Astyanax mexicanus: one gene and its partner. The protein of the gene in region 1 purifies or fractionates together with the protein of each later gene. This does not show direct contact. Links are inferred from orthologs where the notes say so. Each region holds a gene or a part of one and is shown in the gene's direction. Other genes may lie near its edges.

The links.
Region 2: the proteins of metal transporter CNNM3 (region 1) and ptp4a1 purify together in Homo sapiens (affinity purification with mass spectrometry; 6 studies listed by BioGRID and IntAct, with this or other methods). This does not show direct contact. The link is inferred for Astyanax mexicanus from reciprocal best matches to the Homo sapiens genes CNNM3 and PTP4A1.

What each region holds. Positions count from the first base shown.
Region 1 is NC_064427.1:525,786-538,072, forward strand, and holds the start of metal transporter CNNM3, read left to right. Parts: upstream 1-6,237; 5' UTR 6,238-6,528; coding exon 6,529-8,077; intron 8,078-8,939; coding exon 8,940-9,083; intron 9,084-9,350; coding exon 9,351-9,509; intron 9,510-10,428; coding exon 10,429-10,598; intron 10,599-11,435; coding exon 11,436-11,532; intron 11,533-12,128; coding exon 12,129-12,259; intron 12,260-12,287. UniProt on the Homo sapiens protein: Probable metal transporter.
Region 2 is NC_064423.1:12,464,409-12,477,667, reverse strand, and holds the start of ptp4a1 (protein tyrosine phosphatase type IVA 1), read left to right. Parts: upstream 1-7,426; 5' UTR 7,427-7,599; intron 7,600-10,512; 5' UTR 10,513-10,982; coding exon 10,983-11,087; intron 11,088-11,405; coding exon 11,406-11,498; intron 11,499-11,584; coding exon 11,585-11,715; intron 11,716-12,343; coding exon 12,344-12,418; intron 12,419-12,644; coding exon 12,645-12,762; 3' UTR 12,763-13,259. Other genes in the region: myom2a (myomesin-2), read left to right, coding at 745-1,251; lgsn (lengsin), read right to left, coding at 1,939-3,123, 4,125-4,294, 4,397-5,027, 5,196-5,225. UniProt on the Homo sapiens protein: Protein tyrosine phosphatase which stimulates progression from G1 into S phase during mitosis. May play a role in the development and maintenance of differentiating epithelial tissues.

The sequences.
Region 1 (12,287 bases):
CACCAGTTAGCTCATATGTATATATCCACTTATGCAAGACCAGCTACCTATTTCTATGAATAGCGAGAGACCAAAATACTCTAAACTAACCACATTGAGGGAAGTGCTAAGGGTCACTAAGAGTCGAATTACTATTTTAGTAATATGTTATAAATTACTGATAAAACTGGATCAAATTTGACTTTTTTGCCCCAAAAAACGTAGTGATTTTTGCACTTGTTCCTGCTGCTGCACTTACGCAGATCTCCACATTGATGGACATGTTCCAATCTAATCCGCCATTCTTTGTGCTGATTGGCTGTTTTTATTGATGGGCGAGACTTCTTCCATAAATCTAGTCTTCTCTAGACAGGTGTCCCATCACTTTTGGCCGTATAGTGTACGCAGTGAGGGCGCTGGGAACATGGTGCCCCATTGGGCACAATCAATATTTGTTATATAGAAAGAGATTGAGAGAGTTTTTATGTGATTCGTCTTTTTCGTAGAGTTTATCGTAGTTATACCGATATCGTAGCGTGTATATATATATATTTATATATAAATATATTGCGCGGTATATTGGTGCATTGGCTGGAGTTCGGACGCAGCTGTAATACGAGCCGAGGCTCTTGGGTTTATCGCGCTACAGTTCGGGATCTGTATGTTAGCGGTACCTGATAAAATGAGGGACATTCTCTTCGACGATGTTGTTGTTGTTGTTTTATTATTATGCAAATAGCTTTAAGAACAGGAAGTGGTTTGACGTAGTTTAAATAATAGACGGTACTTTTAGAGATTTTTATTATTCAGAATATTCACAATATTCAGTGACTTTCAGCCTTCGAGCAGAGGAGATCCAACCCCAGAACATAGACACTAGGTAGATCATATACTATATAAAAATATAAATATATATGCAATAGAAATAAATTATATAAATATATAAATATTTATCCATATTTATTTTTTATTGTTGCCTAAATTAAATTCAGTTCAGATGCATATGTATGTATGTTTGGTATGTTTGGTATGTTTTTTGTTTTTGTTTTTGTTTTTTGTTTATTTAAGGCCTCCTCCACACGTATCCACACGGATTTAAAAAAAATTAATGTTAAAAAATTTTAAAGCTTTTGTCTGTGTTTTGGCCTCTAGTTCACACAAAAATAGCTAATTTATTGGCTTTTTAAAACCGATGCATTTTTAAACACTTTTAAACACTGTTTTCATGAAGTTGCTTTATTAAAAGAGCTAACATCACAAAACATACACATTTATTATGGCTGAATCCCAAAAATCTCCTCACTCCCTATATAGTGAACTAAATAAGTAATAAAACTACAGTGTCTACACACAGAAATACACTAGATTCCAGATTTACATATATTAATAAATGAAAATACTGTTTTAGAACACTTAGAATCTGTAACTACCTGATTTGCTATTACTATTAGCGCCCCCTCAAGGCCTGGCATGCTAATGCAATCGCTTTTCTTTCATTGGAGCAAAATCATTTTAAAAGATATTCGGATACGTGTGGACACGGCCTCGTCAGATATAAGAGGCTACGATTGGCCGAAATTGGTCCAGTAAGAGATGTGGTAACCAGCCACAGTCCTTTCCAGCATATAACTGCATCAGTAGCACATCTGTAATCATAGTTTTACCATGTTATTGTCAGTTATAAAGACGTTTGTGAGATTTTTGGTCATTATTAGTGAAATGGGACGATTAGAGTCGATTTATTCTTCTGCGTGGAGTCAACTCAGAGTTTACGACATCGCCCGCGCAAGTAGCTTTACGCTGTTTTAAGTGTTTAGGTGTGTTGGACCAATCACAGTGGCTGTGTCTTGATTTGATGCAGAAGAATAACTTGGCGTTCAGAACTAAGAAAACATTCCAGACCTGTGATCCAGCCGTAGCTTTACTGGTGCCGAGACAGAATCCACTGTGAACTGAATTCAGCCTGTAGCGTTCTTCCCCAACACCAGATCAGAAGCTGGAGATGCTCATCAATTACAGTAAAGCTTCAATTTCCCTTTTTATTGCACTAGAACACAGTAGTGTGTGTGTGTGTGTGTGTGTAGCTTTAGCTTAGTTAAACACCATGACCCCATTAGTTTCTCTTTCGTTCCCACAGCAGACGGTGCTTCTCCTCCACTGCATGATACTATAACACTGCATGACCCGACTCAACTCAATTCAGCTTCTTTACTTTCCGTTCGGATGCTTTTACACTTTATTTATTCCTTTTAGACTTTTTTTTTACTCTGGTCCAAACCAAAGTAGCAGGTGTGAAAGGTTCCGTAAACCAAAGAACCAACAAAAGAACCTATATTTCATGTGAACAAAGTAGAGTGAAATAAGGGTTGAGTTCAGTCAAACTAGTGTGGAATCAGAGTCAGTCTGTGTTAAATTCGAGTCGCGAAAAGTCAAATAATAGTACAATTTAATCAAACTAAATTTGAGTCGACTCAAATAAAAGTCAAATATAAGTCAAGTTAAATCAAACAAAAGTCAAGTTTAAGTCTAATAAAGTCAAAAATTAGTTGAGTTAAATAAAATAAGTCAAATTGGAGTTTAGTTGAATCACATAGGAATCGAGGTCAATCAAACAAAAGTCAAGTTTGAGTCTAGTAAAGTGAAATCAAATTAGAGTTGAGTTAATTTAAATTAAAAAAGTCAAATTGAATCAAATAAAAGTGAAATAAGAGTAGAGTTGAATAGTTGAGTACAGTGCAATAAGAGTGAAATAAGACTCTAAGTTAGAGTTAAGTTGAGTAGTGTAGGTATCATGCAGTGGCAAAGCACCTTTATCCTGTTAATCAAATCAATATTCAGTATTGATTATTTAGGATCGTCTACATGCTGTAGTTCTGAGTAATAATAATAAATTCCCCAGTTTATACTCTGTACGCTAGTTTTCTCCAGCGATGTGTGCGAGTTAAACACCATGATCAGCTAAGAATCGCTCTAATGAACAGTGAGCGACGTTTTATTTTATGTTGACCATTTTCCGTTTGTTTGTGTTGTTGGTCAGTGTAACGGTGGACAGCAGTCCAGTCTTTATATAGTTTATATACCAGTTATTTATAAATATTATGTTGCCTTTATGAGAGGTTTAAAAGAGAAGCAATAGTTACGATAGTTATTATTATTATTATTATTATTATTATTATTATTATTATTATTATTATTATTATTATTATTACAGGGGTTAATTAACAATGTTGTACAAGGAAAGGACCGGGTTCAGATGTTACCTCAGTTGAGTTTGCATGTGTTCAAGAATTTACTTTCAGGTTTGAACCAGTCAAAAGTTTGGGCACACCTCCCCTTCTCATTCAATGTTTATTTTCTGTATTGTAGATTAATACTGAAGACATAATAACAATGAATTATGTAGTAAACAGTAAACAAACAGATTATAACAAACCATCCTCCTAGCAACACCTTAGCAACCAAAGCTATACAATAGCAACACTTTAGCTACCACTTAGTAGTAATGCCTTACCAACTGACTGCCAAGCAACAACACAGTAATCAACACTTATACCATAGCAACACCTTAGCAAACACCAAGCAACCAACATCAACACTACAGCAACAGTTTAGCAATCATTGCCAGAGAAACACCTCAGCAACCCCGTAGCAAAAAAATATCAATACAATATACTATAGCAATATCTTAGCAACCACCTAGCAACAATTTAGCAACCAATACCATAGCAAAACCTTAGCAAATTCATATAAAAATATGAAGGTGCTTTCCGTACTCTTTTTATTTCATAATTAACAGGTTTGATCATTTATAGTTAGTTCCGATGTTTTTAATATTAATCTATGATGTGGAAAATAAAAAAATCATAATAAAGAAAAGTCATTGTTGATTGGTGGGGTTGTGAAGGGGGTGTGTCCAGATTTTGAGTGATGGGTGGGAAGGGGGGGTTTGTGACCATGCATTTCTGCTCAAACTCAAGACGACCAAAGTTACCGCGCCTCGTATCAGATAGTTCAGAAACACTTCGGCCAAAGCCTTTTGCACTTTGATCTGTATCTCCTCCGTCCTGCGCCGTGACGACGGAGGCTCCGCCCCCTGGCTGGGTTTACGTGGAGGAGGGAGGGGCTCCCGTGGCTCAGAACTAATGAAATTCCTTCGGGCTCGGGGTCCAGTCTGCTAATCTGCTCTAATTCGCACTGCCGCTGTTCCAGAGCCAGGGTTTCACTCCCACACTCACCAGAGAGTTAAGAGTTGAGACTTAAATTGAGTTGAGTTAAGAGTTGAGTTGAGAGTTGAGTTAAGAGTTGAGTTGTAACTCGGAGCAGGACGGTTCTCGGTTTGATGATTAGTGAACAGTGGAGGTTAACGATTATGAATGTGGGAGAATTTTCCTCTGTGCGTAATTGATTTACTCGTTGTTTGTGCTCACGCTCGTTTGCGTGTCGTACATTAGCTCGTAGAAAAGCTCGTAGAAAAGCTAAGGGCTTGTCGTCCACCAAACAGCACATATAGTACAGCCCTCCTGGCCACTGAGGAACCACACTATTGCTAAGGAACACACTTGTCTTCCATGCACTTGCTAAAAAATGAATTTACCACAGCAACCCTTTACGTTTTTTTTTTTTCTTTGACAAAATAAAGATATTTCAGTTATAGTTTTATGGACAATGCTAATGATGATTTATTCATCTGGATACTCTTTTTTTTTTTTTCTTCTTCTTTTTTTTTTCTCCCTGAAACATGTACGTTTTATTTTTTCTGAGGGTTAGATTTGAAGTGGCTTTCTTCTTCTTTAATTTTTTTTTTATCTATGTCTATTACAGAGTTCGATTATTTGATTTATTAATATATGATCTGTGTTTCTCTGTTAAGGGAAGAAGAGTGTAACGAGCAAATGTACTGTACCTCCAGGTATCTTCGGTTGTTCTATTTAAAGCAATGTGTACATAGTGTTTTATAATAAATACTGGAGGAGTTCTGATGAAATATGACAATAAATCTGAGAGATCTATTTCTCTATAAAAAAAAATACAGTTCTCAGTGTATTTATTGTGTATGTATTAGATCTTGTTTAAAGCTACAAAAGTTTTTAATAAGGAAACCAGCCAATAAAAGCTTTCATTAACCAACAGCTACTGTATGACAACACCTTATCAACCACATAGCAATACCTTGCAAACAATGTAATAACATAGTAACCACCTGGCAATATCTTAACAACCAACATCCATACCAAAGCAACCAACAGGCATACCATGGCAACACCTTAGCAAGCAACCTGTCACCATATCAGAGAGAGAGAATTTTCAAAACTGTGATATTTGGAAAAGATAAAGTATTGGGACAAAATAGAGAACTAGTATTTCTGACTAATAAAAAGTCCAGCCTCATATAAAAATTAATTCAGACTAATACTAATGATAATTGAACGTATTGATAATGATTTTTTCCCCGACAAAATTAAAAAGCATTATAGATGTAAGACAAGGGTCTCCAAACTTTTCAATAGGGGCCACCTTGGGAATGGTGAACAAGTGATTCTTATATTAAACATTAAATTCCATTTTAGTCCAATAACCAACACAAGAAAATCTATCAGCAATCACTAAATGCTTTCCTGTAGATAAATTCCAGTCAGAGAAACTAATGGCTATTTGTTTTTGCTTCCATAACACTGTTGCAACCGATCACTGTACATAAAACTTAAACATAATTGTGAGCCATTAATAATGTATTTTAGAGTGATGCAGAGGTTAAAATACCAGTAGTCTGCAGTGGTCGGGTGAAATATTTTACAATGTGATGGTTGAGGTTAAATGTACGAACAGTGTTGCTGGATTAAGTTAGGTTACACAACTCATTCTGTTCCTGCAGTTCTGCACTTTATTCATTATTACTCTGTCACATACTGGACTATCTCTGCACTTCCACACACACAGATATCAGCGCATCTATATAGCATTGTATTGTTTTATATCCAGTAACATTAAAATATATATCTACAGTACAATACCATATATCAATATGACTTTGGTGTGTATTGTGTGTATACTGTGTATTATATTATTTTATTATTCTACTCTATGTTGTAAATATTTTCATTTGCACACTAGTGACAATAAAAATATATATTGAATTTTGAATATACAGTGTTTATATTTCACTCTGACCTGACTCGACACGCTCAAACGGGGCGGGGTTTTCTTGTGTCGTTCCTTTTTCCAATTGGTGGCTAACAATGCTGTAATCTGATTGGTCGGGTGAAGCATTCGACGTAGATCCGCCCGAGAAGCGGAGAGTTGAGGAGCCCCGGTTGTTGTTGTTGGGGTTGCGGAGAGCGGGCCGCCGCCGTACCGGGGGTTAGGAGTCCCCGAGCCGCTGGAGGAGGAATCGGTGTATTATTATCGTGTTTTTCCCCGCCCCGTGTTTCGCCATGGCTCCGCCGGTGAGGACGTTTCTGCCGCTGTTTTCCGCGGCGGTAGGAGGGTGACGGTAGGCGGGCGGGGGTCACATGATCGGCGGGGCGGAGAGGCGAGCTGCCCGAATCCAATATGGTGGTCGTGCGGCGGTCGCTGCTCCCGCTGCTGCTGCTTCTCCTGATCCCGCTGCTGCTGGGGGGCAGCGCCCAGAGGCTGGTGGGTCTGCGGCTGGAGGAGGTGCTGGAGGTGCAGCAGGGGGGGCAGCTGCAGGAGGAGGCCGGCAGGCGGGTGTACATGCGCGGGCGAGTTCTGTTCGCTGCTCCGGGGTCTGGATTCAGGCTGAGGCTGTTTGGATCTGAGCTGCTGTTTCTGGTTAAAAATAATAATGTTATTAATAATAATAGTAATAACAATGCAAGCTGGCCGTGGCTCGCGTTCGCTCGGGAGGCGGGAGTGGAGAACTTCAACTCCCAACCTGGACCACCTCCTCCTCCTGCTGCTCCTGCTGCTGCTGGTGCCTCTGGTTCTGATGGTCCTAGTTCCAGTCCCGGTCCAGTAAAGGAACAGGAGGAGGACCCATGCAGGCAGGAGATCCTGAGGAACTCTTCTATATTCCGTGTGGAGGGGGAGTTCTCCGCGGATGAAGACAGCAGCGGTGTGCTGGAGGTCCGCACCGCGGAGGGGGACGCCTCCAGCGCGGGCGCTCTGCACCGGCTGTGTGTGCTGAGCGGGCCGGGTTGGGAGTCGCTGGGGGCGGATAGATTCCAGCTGAAGGCGCCGGAGCCAGAGCTAAAGCCTGAGCCAAAGCTACCCCCAGACTGGATCCCTACCTGGGCTTTATCGGTAATTATAGCAGCCTTGGTGTTTATTTGTGCTCTGATTCGCAGTTTAAGCCTCAGTCTGCTCTGTCTCGACCCCCTCGAGCTCTACGTGCTCCACAGCTGCGGCGCGGAGGACGAGAGGCGGGCGGCCAAGCGCCTGGAGCCGCTCCGGAGACGCGGTAACTTCCTGGTGTGCTCGCTGCTCCTCCTGACCGCGCTGGGTCACTCCGCGCTCGGCGTGCTCCTCTACCGGGCCTTCGGCTCCATCCTGCCCGCGGTCTTCACGTGTGGAGCCCTGCTGTTCCTCCTGGCCGAGCTGCTCCCGCACATCATCAGCTCGGGCTACGGCTTCCACCTCGCCCCCGGTCTGATCTGGCTGGGTCAGGTGTGCCTGGCGCTCACCTGCCCGCTCACCTGTCCGCTCGGCGTGCTCCTGGACGTGGCGCTGCGGCGCGACGTCAGCACGTGCGGCGTGCGCGAGAAGGTGATGGAGATGGTCCGCTCCAACGTCAACGACCCGTACAGCGAGTTCGTGAAGGAGGAGTTCCGGCGCGGCGCGCTGAGGAGCAAGACCGTGGAGGACATCCTGACCCCGCTGAAGGACTGCTTCATGCTGCCCTCCACCGCCCAGCTGGACTTCGGAACCATGTCCGAGATCATGCAGAGCGGATACACGCGCGTGCCCGTCTACGAGGAGGAGCGCTCCAACATCGTGGAGATCCTGTACGTGAAGGACCTGGCCCTGGTGGACCCGGAGGACTGCACCCCCATGACCACCATCACCAAGTTCTACAACCACCCGCTGCACTTCGTCTTCAACGACACCAAGCTGGACGCCATGCTGGAGGAGTTCAAGAAAGGTGAGGCGGTGGGACCAACCACAGGTGTGCAGAAGTGTTTGGATACCTGGGGTTGTGTGGTGTTGCATTCAGTAAAGATTACTGAGGTAGTTTGAGATGTTGGAGATTTTGATGATGACCAGACAAAACAAAACAAAACATGGCAAGATAACACAACACAAATGTAATAAATACACTGCCTGTCCAAAAATAAGTAAATAATCTGGACCTGATGCTGCAGTTTGTCTGCAGGTTTAGGTTCAGCAAAGGAATATACTGAATATAGACCAGGTTCTTCTTCCATCAATGGAAACCATCAGGTTCTTCCATTAATTTTTCTTCATATTCCAAGATGAATAATATCAGGATTGATGGTGCTGGAATTGTGAAAGAGTTCAGGGTTCAGGGAGCATGAGATCATCATTTTCACACATGGATTGAGAGAGAGTTCACCACAGAGTCCAGATCTTAACCTCATTGAGAATCTTTGGGATGTGCTGGATGGAGAAGAGCTGCTTTGTGCAGTGGTCAGACTGCACAGATAAAAAAATTAATGCAAAACTGGATTGAAATAAATAAATCTTGTGACGTTGCAGAAGCTTATTGAAACAATGCTACAGTGAATGCAAAGTCACACAATCAAAGATAAAGATGGTTCAGCTAAATATTAGAATTTTTTTTGTTGTTGGAAACTTTTTCTTTGGCCAGGCAGTGTATCGTACTTGTGTTGGGCGGAAATCACTTCATGCATAGAAACACACACTCACACACACAAAAATAGTTGAATATTGCATTTATTAGCAGGAGTGTCCACAAACATTTGACATAAATAATGAAAAAAAACACTGTTGGCTGTAATTTAGTTTTATTTCTTTTTTTCTAGGAAACTCTCACCTGGCTATAGTGCAGAGGGTGAATAATGAGGGGGAGGGAGACCCGTTCTACGAGGTTCTGGGACTGATTACTCTGGAGGACGTTATAGAGGAGATCATAAAGTCTGAGATCCTGGATGAGTCTGATGGCTACAGTAAGTATAACCTGTACATGTGAAGCTTAGAACAGAGCACATCTACTGCCTGCAAAAATCTGATTTGTGTTGTAAAGCTATGTGGCTGAGCAATATTGAAAAAACAATGATGTATATCCAATGCCGTTGTTGAACTGATAAACTGTACATCTCAGTGTGTAGTCATAAAGCACTGAATAAAGCGTGAGTTTGTTGGGTCAGTGTGTGGTGGTGTGGAGAGATGGTGTGTAGAGTGTTTCTCTGATGGAGTGTCTTCATGTCCTGCAGTGAATATGAAGGTGAAGCGTCCCGCCGCCGCGCTGGAGATTCCTCTGGAGCCTCGCTCGAGTCAGGAGGAGTTCTCGCTCTTTAAACCACCGGAAGGAGAACCCAAGATCCGCACGTCTCCTCAGCTCCTGCTGGCCACACACCGCTTCCTCTCCAGAGGTGTGGAAACACTGAGCTTCAGCTGGAATATTAATTTAATTGAATAGATTAATTGAATTACTTTACATACAGAAGCTGCAGAGTGAATCTTAGTAAATAGACTAGATTTACTTCTGAAAACTTGTAAAGAACTCTCTTACATAACAATGATTTTCATATTTTTACAAATTTCATTATATTTAACTGAAATATGTGGAGGTTATGTGCTGTATTTTTCACACTTTAAGATGCTCTTAATATCTTAGTACAGCGTTATAAGGGTGAGTTTTCAGTGAAGTTTCTCCAGCACTAAGGCTGGAACAGTATTAGCATTAGCCGCTAACCATAGTGCTAGCTCTTTCGCTGTACAGAGATGAGTTTAGTAGACTGTAGTCTGCATGTTTACGCATTGTAGTTTCTCATTGTAGCACTTTTGGGTGGCATTAACTAGCGCTAAGCACTGCGAACCATGGCTAGCGCTGCTGCTAACTGCACTGTTATATATTGGAAATGTAAGCTTGCTGTAAATAAAAGGAAGCACTTTACATACACACATAAATGTTTTTTGCTGAATTAGAAGGGAAGCATGGTTACACCCATGTTCCTTACTAGTGCCACTTGAAATGCACCTTATAATCCAGTGTGTCTTATGTATAAAAAAATAGATCAGAAAACAGATGTTTGTTGATAATGCACATTATAATGCAGTATGGCACGCATAATATGGCACACCATGTTTAGTAATAAGCAGTCTATAAAGAACAGGTTGAGTAATCCTGCAGCTCCTCAGTGTTCTTATCTTTAGCTCTTATCAGTTCAGAATTGCAGTTTAGACTCTTACAGAATACAGAAACACAGATCTGCGTTTCTCCTGCAGTTTATGAGTAATAAAAACACAGTTATGATTATTAATAATCCTGTTTTTTCCTCTCTGTTACAGAGGTGGAGCATTTCAGTCCACAGCGAGTTTCAGAGAAAGTCTTATTTCATCTCCTGCGGCACCCGAGCGTCAACCAGGAGGTGAAGTTTGACCCAAACAACCGTCTGAGTCCAGATCATTACCTCTACACCCGGAACCACCCTGTGGATTACTTCATCCTACTGCTGCAGGTAGACCCGCCATAATTACCCACCTGAGTTATTTTACAGTATAGGAACAAAACGTCAGAATTAGCTTCTGGGGCTGGGTATTGTTTTAAAATTAAATTCAGTACCGATACCCAAATGATACAGGTCTATAGCAGTGTGTGTAATAGTGTGTATAGTAGTGCAGTGTGTTTGGTGTGAAATCATGTAGTTGAAGCAGAAGCAGAGGGGTTTGTTCACTCTGCTGAAATGTTTGAGTTGTTAAACTTGTACCAGCATGTCGTCTCAGGTCGCAGCTCCAGCAGGAGGTTAGCAGGACCTCGGCCTCTGAGGGTTGTTGAGTTACTTTAACAGGATGATGAAACGCCTCAGAGTTCTCAGAAATCTGCTGTTGTTTTCAGTAACTGAAGTTTAGTGCTCAGAGTAAATGTATTTTATACAACCTCTATACAAACTTTATGAATATGAACTTGTTTTCTTTGCATTATTTGAGGTCTGAAAGCTCTGCATCTTTTTTGTTATTTCAGTCATTTCTCATTTTCTGTAAATAAATGCTCTAAATGAGAATATTTTTATTTGGAATTTGGGAGAAATGTTGTCTGTAGTTTATAGAATAAAACAACAATGTTCATTTTACTCAAACATAAATCAAATCAAATTTATTTATTTATTTTGTAAGGTGATAATGATGTATTTTAATGCAGATCTGTTTATCTGCTCTAAACTCAGAGCTGATAATATAGTCCAGTCAAACACATTCCAGATCTTTCCACTGCAGTGTGTGTTCTCTACTGTCTCACGCTGTCTGTGCAATAACACACAATAAAGTGTGTGCGTGTGTGTGTGTGTGTGTGTGTGTAGGGTCGTGTGGAGGTGGAGATTGGTAAAGAAGGTCTGAAGTTTGAGAATGGAGCTTTTACTTATTACGGTGTATCAGCTCTCACAGCTCCCTCCTCAGGTACGTACTCTATACCACTGCCAGGTAAAGAGAATAACTGAATAAAAGCATATTCAATTATTTAGTAAATAAAAAAAGTGTTACAAACCAGAATGTTTTATATTTTACATTATACAGTTAACAGCTGTGCTGAACTCGTCAAGAGATAATAGGTTTGAAGAGGTAGAGTTACAGGTATACAGTGAATAGCTCTATTAGAGTAATGTTTGAGCAAAGACCATTAAAAACATTATAATGGTGAAACTGGCACTCATCAGGACCGTCCCAGTAAAGGTTAAAAGAGTGAGTGTTTCCTCTGTTGTACAGGATAAATTTATCAGAGTTTCCAGCCTCAGAAACCACAAGTTAACAAACAGCTCCTCAGATAAGAGTATCTAAATACTTCACAGAGTATTTTAGTTTGTTTATCACTGTTTTTAAGTTACTACATGATTCATTATGTGTTCCTTCATAATCTCATAGATCACTTTACTATTTTATTTACTGTGTAGGAATACATAATATTAATAGAAACACTGATTGAAAAGGTATAAAGATGTAAGGATGTGCCCACCTGTAGTTGTTTATGTTGGGGAACTGATCTTGTGTTAATACAGTGCATCAGTCCCCAGTGTCCACACAGCGGCGCTCTCCCAGAGACCCCTTTGAGCTGGGAGATGCCACCAGCCCGTCCAGCTACTGTCCTGACTACACAGTCCGAGCCCTCACCGACCTGCAGCTCATCAAGGTACGTATAAACCAGGGGATCCAAACCT
Region 2 (13,259 bases), on another chromosome or scaffold:
AGATTATAAGGCACATTTTAAGCAAAAATAGTAAGGAACAAGGGTCTTACTTTGTTGTTAATCTACACTGATTTCTCTCCTGAAAACTGTTTATTTGAGTGCTTTTGAGCTCTTTTGTTTATTTACAGTAAGCTTCGATTTTTAATATTTTCAAAAGCACGGTTAGCAGCAGTGCTAGCCACAGTTAGCAGCAGCGCTAGCTGTGGTTAGCAGCAGTGCTAGCTGCAGTTAGTAATGCTAGTAAATGCTGCCCGAAAGCGCAGGTTTGTCCCACATCGCTTGTTTTAACATAGTAAACACAGGCTACAGTCTGATATACTCACCTCTGAAAGGAAGATGAGCTAGCACTGTGGCTTGTGGCTAATGCTGCTTAGTGCTAGTGAAACTCCTGTATAACGCTGTACTTCAGCAGAGTGGCTTAACTGTTCCTTACAACCTGACTGGTACAATTTATACAATTTATACAAGGCATACTGGATTAAATGCTGCATTGTCGATTTTTGGGGAAAATTAAAGGATTTTAAATGCACCTTATAGTGCAAAACATAATTATTGCCCAGTCTTACTGGATAGTGCCGCTGTCCTCTCACTGGATACTTTTAGAGTGATGTGCTGCAGGTTGGACTAGTTGAACAGAACTCTATAATTTACTTCTGCATTCTTATTGGTTGACATTCTATCTGTAATTTTAAAAGGCACATCCTTTAATCAGGTTTTTAACCTTAACACCTGTAATTTTTACAGACCCTCAGTTTGACCTGTACAGTGTGGGGTGACCCCCAGCCTGAAGTCACCTGGTTCAAGAACGAGCAGGAAGTCGTGTCCGATGCACACAACAAGATCACCTTCGAGAGTGGCAAGTTTTCCAGCCTGACCATCAATTCAGTCACTGTGGAAGACTCTGGCAAGTACAGCATCAACGTGCGGAACAAATATGGCGGAGAGTTTGTAGAGATCACCGTCAGCGTCTACAAGCAGGGCGAGGAGATTCCCGAACCCAAACTGGGACAGATGTCTAGATCAGCCGCAGCACCCAAGTCACCTGCACCACCCTCCAAACCCCAAACTCCTGCACCATCCATGAAGCCCGCCACTCCCACTCCACCCCCCTCTGTTAAGTCTCCAACCCCTACTCCACCTCCATCCGTAAAGGCTCCGACCCCAGCTCCAAAATCCCCAACCCCACCCAGGAGTGCCAAGTCCCCCACCCCACCCAGATTCATGAGGTCCCCAACCCCAACTAAGAAATAAACACAATGCTTTTGCTGCCCATGTTGTTTCACGTTTCACTGATATATACTGCAAATATATATTTACATTAGTTTATCAAACAAATGATCTCTTACTTATTAACCCACTGACATTTGCAGTTATGCGTTTTTGCATGTATATTTATATACATGCTTAATGGGTTTTTAAGTACAGTAGATCCTTTGGTGAGCTTAGAACTAAAAACCTGGTCTTGACCCACAAGACAAATGGCCAGCGTATCTCGCTCGTTTGTGTTCTTATATGTTACTCGCTAAAAGCTAAAAAATATAAAGGTTATGAAGTTGAAACTAACAGGTGCTGTTTACTAAAACAGACATTATCTTTACAAGTGGCATCATTAGCCGTCTTATCCTGTCCTGTCTTTTCATGTTGCTTCGTGTTGCCAAATAAAAACTTGTTCAGCTTCTCTCGGCTGGATTTTGATTGTCTTTTTGTGTCTTTTTACAGATTTTAGATTTTTCTCAACAACATAACAATGCACAAAACACAGATTTTCCATTTAAATCATCACAAGCTTTTATTTCTCTTAAACAGAGCTTGTTACTTAATGTATCTTCAAATATTATTGTTGGGATAAAAAAAAACGAGTGCCTGTTATTCTTGCTCTTCTCTACGTGAAAAGATCTCAGTCTGTGAATCTAAACATTCATCAGATTATATTTTTATCTAGATGAAATATTCCAAGCCTTTGTTTCTGTCTGTATCAAGCTCCTGTGTCTCAATCTCAAGGCGCTTCATGGCGATGAAGTACTGAATAAAAGGCTCACCAAGTGACCCACGGATCACAGCATCTTCTGCAAGGGCTTCTAAAGCATCCTCCAGTTTAACTGGGATCACAACCTGTTTCTGTTGGTTTGGAGCTCGGTTGAGACCCTGTTCTATGCTGAGGTTACGCTTTATGCCATCCAGTCCAGCTGCTATTGTGGCAGCCAGAACTATGTATGGGTTTGCCATAGCTGAGCCAAGCCTGTTATCGATGTGCATTTCCCGCCCACCATGGATCTTCACGTTAAAGGAACAGCTGTTGTCGTTGCAGCCGCATGTGGCGTACAACGGGTGTTTAGAGTCTCTGCCTTTAGAGAGCTGACTGCGGCAGCCGATCCCCGGTGCCAGTAGGCAACTCAATGCTGGCGAGTGGTGAAGAAGCCCACCAAGCCATTTCTTGCCAATGTCGGACAGCTCCCCAGTGCTCGAGTGGAAAAGACTTTTCCTTCCATTGGCGTCCCATAAGCTGTGGGACAGCTGTCCCAAGTTGTTGAGAGTCTCGTCGGTGAGGAATGTGACGATGTAGTTATGCTTCCTGGCCATCTCTTTGATTCCAGTTCGGAATGTGAAAGCACTGTCGGCCGCTTCGATTCCAAACTTCGGCTTGAAGCAGATCTCCATCTGTCCCGGTCCGCTGGCAGATGCAAAGTTGTCCACATCAGCGCCCATGTGGTACATGGCTCTCACCAGCTGCTGTAGAAAGGGCAGATCATGATTGCTCAACAGAGTGGTAGCGGGAAAGAACACAACCTTGGGTCCGAGTCGCTCCGGCGCTCCTAATATGCAGCACTCGTAGGTGAAGGAGGAATGGAGGGAGAACCCCATGCTCTGAAGCTGACCGAGCATTAGTTTAGCGATAAGGCGAGGAGAGGTGCGCAGTGGAACGCCTGTAACGGTGCAGGGATCGCAAATTACACGAGCGGTCTGTTCAGACCAGGGAAGGACCCGGAAGGTGGAGAGATCAGGCACCAGAAGAACGTCACTGCTGAAATTGGCAGCAGATGGATGATCGACCTCGTTGTCTTTTGGGCTCAGTGTCAGTTCCAGGTAGCTTCTGGGCATGGGTACACCATACACAGCTTTTTCCTGTAATACAAATAACAGAATTATCAACATGCAAAAGCATCCTAAAGTTGTGAAGTTATTTACAGTGCTGTGAAAAATTATTTGCACCCTACAGATTTCTTTTTAGATTTTTATCATACTTATATTTTTCAGATTAACAAATACATTTATTATTAGACAAAGATAACCTGAGTATATATAAAAAGCAGTTTTTAAATGATAATTGAATTTACGAAGAATTCTATTCAATTCTATTTAACCAACCTGGCCCTGTGTGGAAAATGATTTGCCCCAAAACCTAATAAATTGGTTGAGCCACCCTTGGCTGAAACAACTGTAATCAAGCGTTTTAAATAACTGGCAATAAGTCTTTTTAGCCCACTCTTCTTTGCAGAATTGTTTTCATTCAGCCACATTGGGGGGTTTTGCGCAAGAAAGGCCTGTTTAAGATCCTGCCACAGCTTCTCAATCAGACTTTGACAACCAAAACCTTCACTTAGGTTTTTTGAGCCATTTAGAGGTGGACTTGCAGGTATGACTGAACTTTTGGTAAAGAGCAGAAAATATGGTTCAATTACAGCAAATCCAGGTTGTGTAGCAGCAAAGAAGCCCTAGACCATCATGCTACCACCACCATGTTTGACCTTCATTATAAAGATCTTTTCCCTAAATTATGTGATAATTTTACACCAGATGTAACAGGGGAAATACCTTCCAAGAAGTTCCACTTTTTTGTCGAAAATTCACAGTATAAGTCCTGGGGATCATCAAGATTTGAGATGGGCCTTCATGTTTTTTTTTTTGGTCAGCAGTGGTTTTTGCCTTGGAACTTTTCCACGGATACCATTTTTGCAGTCTCTCTTTTTTATTATTGAATCATTAACACTGACGTTAACGTAGCAAATACTCATAGCACTGTATATCATAAATATTTCAAAAATAAATCTAAGCATAAGTTTCTTTCATTAATGCACATTTGATTCAGTCACCCTACATTTAGCAATTAAGCAGGAGATATTTACATGAAAGTAGCGAGCGGGGACCATCTTGGATCTGGACACACCGTGAAGATCTGTTGCTTCAAAGCGAACAAAGCCAACATTCTCTCGAGAAATCTGCTGCTTAATCAGATCAAGCTCGTAAAGGAAATTCTGAGATCCGTGAGATTCTGTATGAGAACTGTCCCTGTTATCTGTAGAACGCATAAAAATAAACATCATTAAAAATAAATAAGAGGGACACCAAAATCTTTCAGATTTCTCCATCAGTAGAGGAACAGTAGAGGCACACTCACCTGTCTGTGATGACCACGTGTCGGAGGAGTGGGCTCTATCACTGGAGGGTGTCCTGTAACCAGTTGTCCTGCTTGTATGACCGTCGGTCCTGGATGACCCACTAGAATCCCAGCCAGAAGAAGCACCATCTCTTGGTCTCGAGGCTCTTCTGCTCCCTGCAAGAATTGGTTTGAAGGTTGTAAAGGACTTGGATGGTATGTCGTCTGGTCTGCAGTCCACCCTCTGTCCAGGCGTGTGGCTGTGGGGACTGACCGGGCGGCCGTCGTCCCTCAGCATGGAGCTCTCACGTAATATATTCTTCAGTTCTTCCACTGTCTGTCTAGATACACCTTGTTCTGTGAAGGGTGGATGTCCCCGGAGGTCTTCTCCACCCCAGTCATCATTACTGGTGAAATCCTGGTTCTGGGGCTCGCTGGTGACAGTGGGCTGACAGTGTGGGCCAATAGAAATGACTGTGGGGTTTTCAGCAGGACTTGGAGTGTAAAAATTTGTCTGGACGATGGGCACAGGAGTCCCCCTTCTGTCCCAGTCTGAAGAAGCTACATGTTTACCGCTAACCTTTACCCCCTTCTTACTGCTGTGGCTCATGTTCCCTCCGTCCACTTGGTCTGAATCTGTAGATGCCATTTCCTATATATAAACATAAACAAAAAATATTCATAGTTATAAACGAGCAAATCCAATTCTGAGAGTCGCACCAAGATGACATTCCCCTTTTTTATACATAATGGATTACAAACACTCAAAATATATATGTTATACATTTGATATTTTTGTAGAGAAATCTGAAGACTGTACTTTCTCTTTCGGTCCATCTGATTTTTGCATCGTGTCTCCAGTTTCTTTGAGCCGGTGGTTTCAGATTTTGTGAGCTCCAAGTTGAAACAAGAGCTATGGCCAAGCACATCATTTATAGGCCGCCGGTACAATGCTGACCATTTGGAACATTCCCTCTGCCCCCCCACCCCCAGTTCCTCCCAGTGCACCCACAGTAAAATGGTTTACACAACTAACAACCTGTGACTGAAACACACTCCTCCTCTGATTGGCTGATGCTGAGAGCGGCCCAGGCTGTTCACTGGTCTATTGTACAGGATAGCACCATTGAAAACTATGCTGAGATCAGCTTTTTTACACAGACCTCTAAACACAGCCCGACCAATTTCTAGAAAGATGTTTTTTAAAACAAAGAGAAGAAAAAAACAATATTCACCACAAATATTCTCCATTATCTATAATACAGGCTTCATATGCATAATATTCCCATATTGTAAATGCAGCTTATGTGTAAAAAAAATATTTTCAGAGACTTTAATTTAATAAATCACTATATTTTATGTGGGAGTGATGAAAAGAGGCAAAATTCCATCTAGCAAAACCATGAAGAGTGATCGAGGCATGTCATGCTCTCACCCTTATTGCTTAAAAAAACATAAATATGCCTTCCTTAAACACTTCATCTGCTTTAAACCATTACTCACCCAAAGTTTAAATGCTGAATGCTCATATGCTCAAAGTTTGAAGGGGAAATATTATTATATTATATATTAATATTATATATTAAGTTATAATAGGTCTATGGGCAGTACAAAACATGTTCATAAAGTTTTTGGCGCCAAATTACTCTCACATAAAGAGATCTCACCAGCTCTATTCTTACCAGTGTCAGTCTCATTCAGAATTAGCCATTAAAGGTTTGTGTAAACGCATGCAGGAATACACGGTACACAGGCAGTCTTCAGGAGACTTGTGTAACCAATGAACGTAATGCAGAACTGTTCACAGGAGTGTTGCATCCGTTGCTTTGCAGAAATCGTGCCCTGCCATAGACTCGAGTGTGGGAAAGAAAGAGAGCAGGAGAGTAAGGTGCTGCCCTCATCTACATATTCATAAAGTGCATGCAAAACAGAGAGGGTTCTGACTGGCCTGTTCTCTACAAAGAGTCTGTGAGTCAGCCCATTAATATTTATTGTGAGTGGGCTGTGTTTCTTTCCCCTTCTGGACGGGATGCACTTAGTGAGTAAAAGAAGGAGCATCATGGCTCCCATCTAAACTCATTTCACCTCTGACTACTCTAAAGTATATCCATGTCTGGTAAAAGTAAAAAACAATGAAAGTCTTGCCCACTGTACAGTTTGTAATAGCGATTTTTAAGCTAAGTCCGGGGGTATCTCCCTGAAATTTATTTTCGCAACTTGAGATGTCTGCAGAGTTCACGGTTTTCCCTCCAAATTGGGCTTGTTTGAAAATCCGGTTGTGGGTGAAAATTCAGGGGTGGCGGGGTGTGTTTTTTTTAGCTACGTTTAAAAATTACAGCGGCAAAAAAAACAAACAAAAAAGTGGACAAATCTGAAAATTGAGAGATCATTCAACTTTTCATTTTTGTTTGCGAAAGGCTGAAATGAAAAACTTGATAATTAAAAAACTGGATGAAAACCAGTCAGTGTAACGTTTTGTAGTTTAATTTTTGACTGTATCAAGCTAAATTTGAAATGAAGAACAAATGTGTTTTCATAATTTTTTTAATTGTCGAGTATTTAATTTCAGCCTTTCACAAACAGAATTTAAAGAAAACTGAAGAGTTGAATGTTCTCTCTTTTTTTTATTTGTCCATTTTTGTATCTCGTTACACAAATCTGATGGTATAATCCAACTTGCAAAATGCAAGATAAAAAAATAAAAAGGAAGAAAACTTATTTCTTGTACATTGCACTACTTTAAAAAAGGAAATCATAAGTTTTTACATCCAGTGTTCTATTTTTGAATTTAACCTCAAACAGTCAGAAAATGTAATTAATTAAAGTTACACTGACCAAAACCCATTTCTTCTTCATTTGAAATTTAGCTTTGATACAGTCAGAAAATTAAACTGCTAAACGTTACACCGACCTGGTCTGATATGGCATCACCGCGCGGGGAGGGAGAGAACAACAGCAGCGGCGGGCTGACCCGGTTCTGAGAGACCCGTCCCCCCTCCTCCTCCTGCTGATGATCCAGGGCGCGGTTACTGTGTGGAGAGCGAGCGAGCGAGCGAGCGCGCGCCAGGCAGGCAGGCTGGAACCGGTTGAGGCAGAGACGGAGTCGCGGATGAGACAGGGCGCGCGCTGCGGCTGTATGGTAAAAAACAATTCAGAGATTTCACCGCTTTCTCGGGACCGGCTTTATGGTTAAACTACAATCTTCAATGAGTAAACATATTCCAGTAAGTACACAAATCTCATATTTAAAGCGGGGCTTTTGTTTTATACGCGCGTGGCTCTGTTTTAAGATTGTCTTTATGGGGTTTGGCGAGATTGTTGTCGAATCGAGGTCATTGTTTTAGCCTGGTAGCGCTGGATGTAGAGGCGGGTAGTCTGGATCCTAAAGTTTATTAATCCAGTCCTGGATTTTGTTACAGCCGCCAGTGCGGCAATGCTGCAGCTGTTCTGCAGCAGAGCCGCCCTGACGGTTGGAACAAAATCCCGGTGCGGATTTTTACGTGTGGTACTTTCTGGATTAAAATTCCCATCTTTAAAATAGACATTAGTCCTTCATAATCTGTTTTAACCTGGATTATAGCTGGATACGTCCTTCTAAATCACAGTGACCTAATTTTTATTAGTTAATGAGTCTATATGTTCTTTTTTAAAACCATGGAATTGTAGTTTAATTAATTTAACAGTTAACTTAACAGTCAAGCGAGCTTTGTGCTTTAGCCAGCAAGCAAGTTAGCTAGCTAGCGTTAGCTAACCTTAAAACGACGGGTTTCGTCGTTATTCTGTGGATACCATTAATTTATTCTGGTTTACAAAAAATCGAAAATAAATATTAATAAATAAAGATTTCTTATAAAATACTAAATAAAGTATTTTAAGAAGATTAGTTAACGTTAGCTAGCTAACTAGGATAACAACAGCAGGAGGCCCGACAGGTTGTTAGCTAGCTAGCTATTTCAAGCTAAAGCTAACTAGCATATCATTCTAACTTAGCCTAGCCATTTGCCGCATATATAACATATTTAGCTAGCGTTAGGTGGGTCGTAGTTGCACAGCCGGTGTTATGTTGAATTGTGTTACACATCAATATGTGCGTCTTAACAGTACTGCGCATGCGCCTTAAATTTTTCTTACGAGCCAACAAAAAAGCTTATGGTGATGTAGTTACGTGTCACAGACCATTTAAAAGATGTGAAAAAATGTGGAAAGTTGCGTACAGCACTCTATCCACGATTCTAACTCATCAAAGTCCTTAAATATGTTATCAAGATGTCTGTTGGGAGCGTGCTTCTTTTTTCGTTGCCAATTTTACCTTTAAAACACACTGGGGAAGCACGATTTGACGAGGAGCACAACTCGACAGAACACCTGGTTGGCTAGGCTAGCACATTCTTTTCACGGCTTCTATATGTGTGCGCCGCTTTCTTTGTGGGGAAGCTTAGCTAAACTGAGCTCTGGTCTCTGTCTAATTCAATTAACGTTAGCTAATCTAGTAGTTAGGTATCTTAGCTCACAGGTAGGTTAATAAGCTAGTTTATTGTCTCTGCCCATAAGCTAGTTAGTTTAGTGAAATACAGAAACTCTTCAGCTAGCCCAGCATCTCCTTATAAATAATAAGGAAAGTAAAATCCAAATAAAATCAGTCAAGTTTCAGTCAGTAGGGTTAACCTTCTCTCTTTAAATGTAAATAAATCAACCTTGGGTTGTGTTACATTGTTTTATGAGTATAAAATAAAGCTCTGCTCCACTGCAGAGTCTCTGTGATGGGCATCAGCAGGGATACCAGCATAATGATGTACCTGTGCTACTACCACTGTACTTATTATCTATGGCTGCAACTACTGATTATTTCAGTAGGCAACTAACATGATTATAATTTTTTTAGATTAGATAGATTAGATTTTATATATATATATATATATATATATATATATATATATATATATATATATATATGTATATGTGTGTGTGTGTGTGTATATATATATATATATATATATATATATATATATATATATATATATATATATCTCAGGAGACACCGCTCATTTTATTGTTTGCATACAGTTCCTTGAGAGGTAAAATATAAAGCAAATGTTACATTTGTTTCTGAATTTCTGAACCAGGGTGTGTAGTCTATAAATGTGTAAGTTATAAATATAATATATATATATGTGTGTGTGTATATATATTTTGCCATTAAATGTTTATTCAGCTAACATCTTACATTAACCAATCACAGCTTTAAACAATATTTTTTAACAATAAATTTAAATAATCTAATAAAAATAATAAAAAATTACCTTTAACGCAAAAGTGCCTATGGTGACATAACTTTAAAAGTTGTGAAAAGTTTGTTCCTTTGTCCTTGACTTTAAATCATGAAGTCCTCAAGTGACATACTGTATGACCTGACTTTGTCAAAGGACAGTATATGAATGTTTGTTCATTTATTTGACCTTATTAGCAGGATGTACGTAAGATACGTGAGATAAAAGTATCTTCTTTAAAAATTATATTTTTCTACAGCTCTTTTCCAATCAACGATTTAACTAAATGTACATTGCATTCCATTCCATATAATTGGTTGTGGCATGATTTCTAGAACAAAACGTTAAAATCCAGATTATGAAATTATATTCACTTGTTACATCTATATAGACTATAACCCTCAAATATTTACAGTCATTTTTTCACAGTAAGAAAAAAACATGAGCTGCTCTCTGAATTAGATTTTGGTATCAATATTTAGAAATGGGTCTCGGCTCTTATGAATTAAAGTAGCACAGATAGTAGCTGCCATTCATATAAGTGCGGTCAGTGTCGCTTGGTCCTTTTCTTTTATCGCTTATCAAACAGCAACTACTGTTTTATACCGTTATAATTCCGATATCATTGTGAATCTCTACTTTAAATGTGTAAAGTACTGATATTTAGTAAGTAAATATGTTTTCTGTTGTGTTTGGGCACTTTTGGAGAGACAGACCAAGTTGAGTGTAAACTTTGTGAGTGCGGCAAATTCCCGTCTCCCACTAGCAATTTTATATGATCAACATTGTGGATTATGTTAACTAATTATTGCAGCCCTATTGTTTACCTGCTTTTCTCTGACCCTCCATCTTTCTGTTTTGTCTTTACAGCAGTTCTGTGGTGTATTGGGTCACACATTTATGGAGTTTCTGAAGGGCAGTGGAGACTACTGCCAGGCTCAGCACGGCGTATATGCAGACAAGTGAACGGCGAGCCCTGCTACCTCACTGGAAGAGAGACTTGTGTGAGTGTTTTAAGGTTGGCGGGATCGGACACGGAGAGCGGGCGTCCACAGCAGCCAGATCGGTCTGGATGGGGTAAAAAATCTGCAGAAGTGCACTGCCCTCGTTGGCCCTCCGTCTCCTCGCTCACCTGAGGACCAGCCTTTTTTTTTATTTATTTATTTTTTATGTAAAATTCTTTCCCCCCTTTTTTCATTCCCAGAATTTGTTGTTTACGCCATCCCAGAATTTGTTGTTTACGCCATCCTCACATTTTCTTTCTGACTCTCTGTGGCAGAAATTAATTTTTTGGGTCAGTGAAGTTTTAGTACATTTTGAATTATTTTTTCCATTCAACAATGGCTCGTATGAATAGACCTGCCCCGGTGGAGATCACCTATAAAAACATGAGGTTCCTCATCACTCACAACCCCACCAATGCCACTCTGAATAAATTCATTGAGGTGAGCATTTATATATTGTGCAACTTGACTTTATATACTCTATATACTTCATATACAACTGTGTTAAAAATTAAAAGTTTAGACATAGGCTAAGGTTTTGGTTTCTCTTAAATTCAACCCATAGACATGAGTGTTATGTAGCCTTGGGGATTAGAGGGAATATCTCCCAAATCTTTTTTTAGTTGAAATACTGTTAAACTTATTACCCTTTTTAGGAATAGTGTAGGAAAATATAATCTATAATCTCTAAAAACAGAGAATCCATTAGAAAATTCCTTTTTTTTTCTGAAATGATTAACCGGATTTTTTCTTTAACAGGAACTGAAGAAGTATGGTGTGACAACAGTCGTCAGAGTGTGTGAAGCAACTTATGATGCCAACCTGGTGGCCAAAGAGGGCATTCAGGTTCTGGTGAGTTACATAATGTGAAGAAAGTTTTACATAAAAACATAACCATCTTAAAGTGCACAGACTAAAATATCTCTCAAAACTTGCAGGATTGGCCATTTGATGATGGAGCTCCTCCTTCTAACCAGATTGTTGATGACTGGCTAAATCTGTTGAGGATTAAGTTCAGGGAGGAGCCAGGCTGCTGTGTTGCAGTCCACTGTGTAGCTGGCCTTGGAAGGTGAGGTTTCTCAAGAGTTTCTTTCTTGTAAAAAAAAAAGAAGTGGCTTTTTTATTGTAACTGCAAAAAACGAAATCTTCACAAGTTAAATGATCTCATTTCGAATCAATAAATCTATGTTTGTTCCCTTCTCCGTGTAGTTTAAGATCAAAACAAGAGCAAAAAGTCACCAGTCAGTTTACTCTGATTCTTGTGTCCAAATTTAAGACATAAAACATTTGTACTTGATTCAAGTCTTACCTTAAGGCTGAAGAAAATGTATGTAGGGAAAACAATGTAAAAGAAAATTGCTTACCTTACTGGCAGATTTTGTATTTAGATTTTCTTTTGTTTTATAGGAGTATATAGGTCTTGAATCTTTTACCATTTTTTTTTTATATTGACGTATGGATCAGTTTTTTTGTTAATGTATTTTTTATGTATTTGTATTGTTTTTATTTTCGTATCTGCATTGAAATTTCAAGGCTGTAACAAGAACACAGCTAACCGTTTTGGCCTTGGACAGTTTATTTTCTGTATTTATAGATAAGGCAGTTGGTGGTTTTGTTGCCATATCTTCAGTGCAGGGACAGTAACAAGTTTTGTTTGACAAATCTTTTATGTGCTCTGTGTGTTTTTCTTTTCTTAGAGCCCCGGTCCTGGTTGCTCTTGCTTTGATTGAGTGTGGAATGAAGTACGAAGACGCTGTTCAGTTTATTCGCCAGTAAGTGATTATATTTTTACCACCTAAAGCAAATAATTGTTTTTTATTAAAAACTTATTAACAGCCTGCAAAGCACCTCATATTTTTCATGATTTATTGTTTGGAATCTGTCAATTTATCTGCTGTATAACTAAATGATTTAGCCTTTACCACAGTAGTGCAGTAGTTTATCTTTTGGAGATTAAGACAGTGTGTATTTTTTTTTTTTTTTTTTTAACTTTCCCAGGAAGCGTCGTGGAGCTTTTAACAGCAAGCAGCTCTTCTACTTGGAGAAGTATCGTCCAAAGATGCGTCTTCGATTCAAAGACTCGAATGGCCATCGCAACAACTGCTGTATCCAGTAGAGCTTTGCACAGTAACCCTGCTGGAGTAGCGTTATCTAGCCAGATGTTTCTCTAATGTTGGCCGTTTGCTCTTTTAATTAGTTAACATGTGAAGAAGAAAAAAAGCTGCGAAAGAAATGAATTTGTATTTGTTTCCCCTTTTGTCTTGTTTTTACATTGTGGCCACTATTTGGCAAGTTTAGAGTGCTTGTGTTTGTTTGTTAGAAACTGAAAGAGGGACGCTGATATGTTGCGTCTCTTTTGTTTGTTTCTTTCTCTTTTTTGGCAAATTGTCACAGGAATGCTCTCTGCCAAACAAAAATGTTTTTACATTCATTAAATATCAAAAGAAGTTATGATTTATCATTTTTGTTTTGGATGAGCCTAAGTCCATATTGATACCTGCCTTCCAATGGGTCGTATTTAAATGCCTTATTACAACGGAAAGAGGCCACTTAATGGGTGCAAATCTATGGCCTTTGGAGAAGTGAAACAGCTGGACAGGAAAATTATGAGTA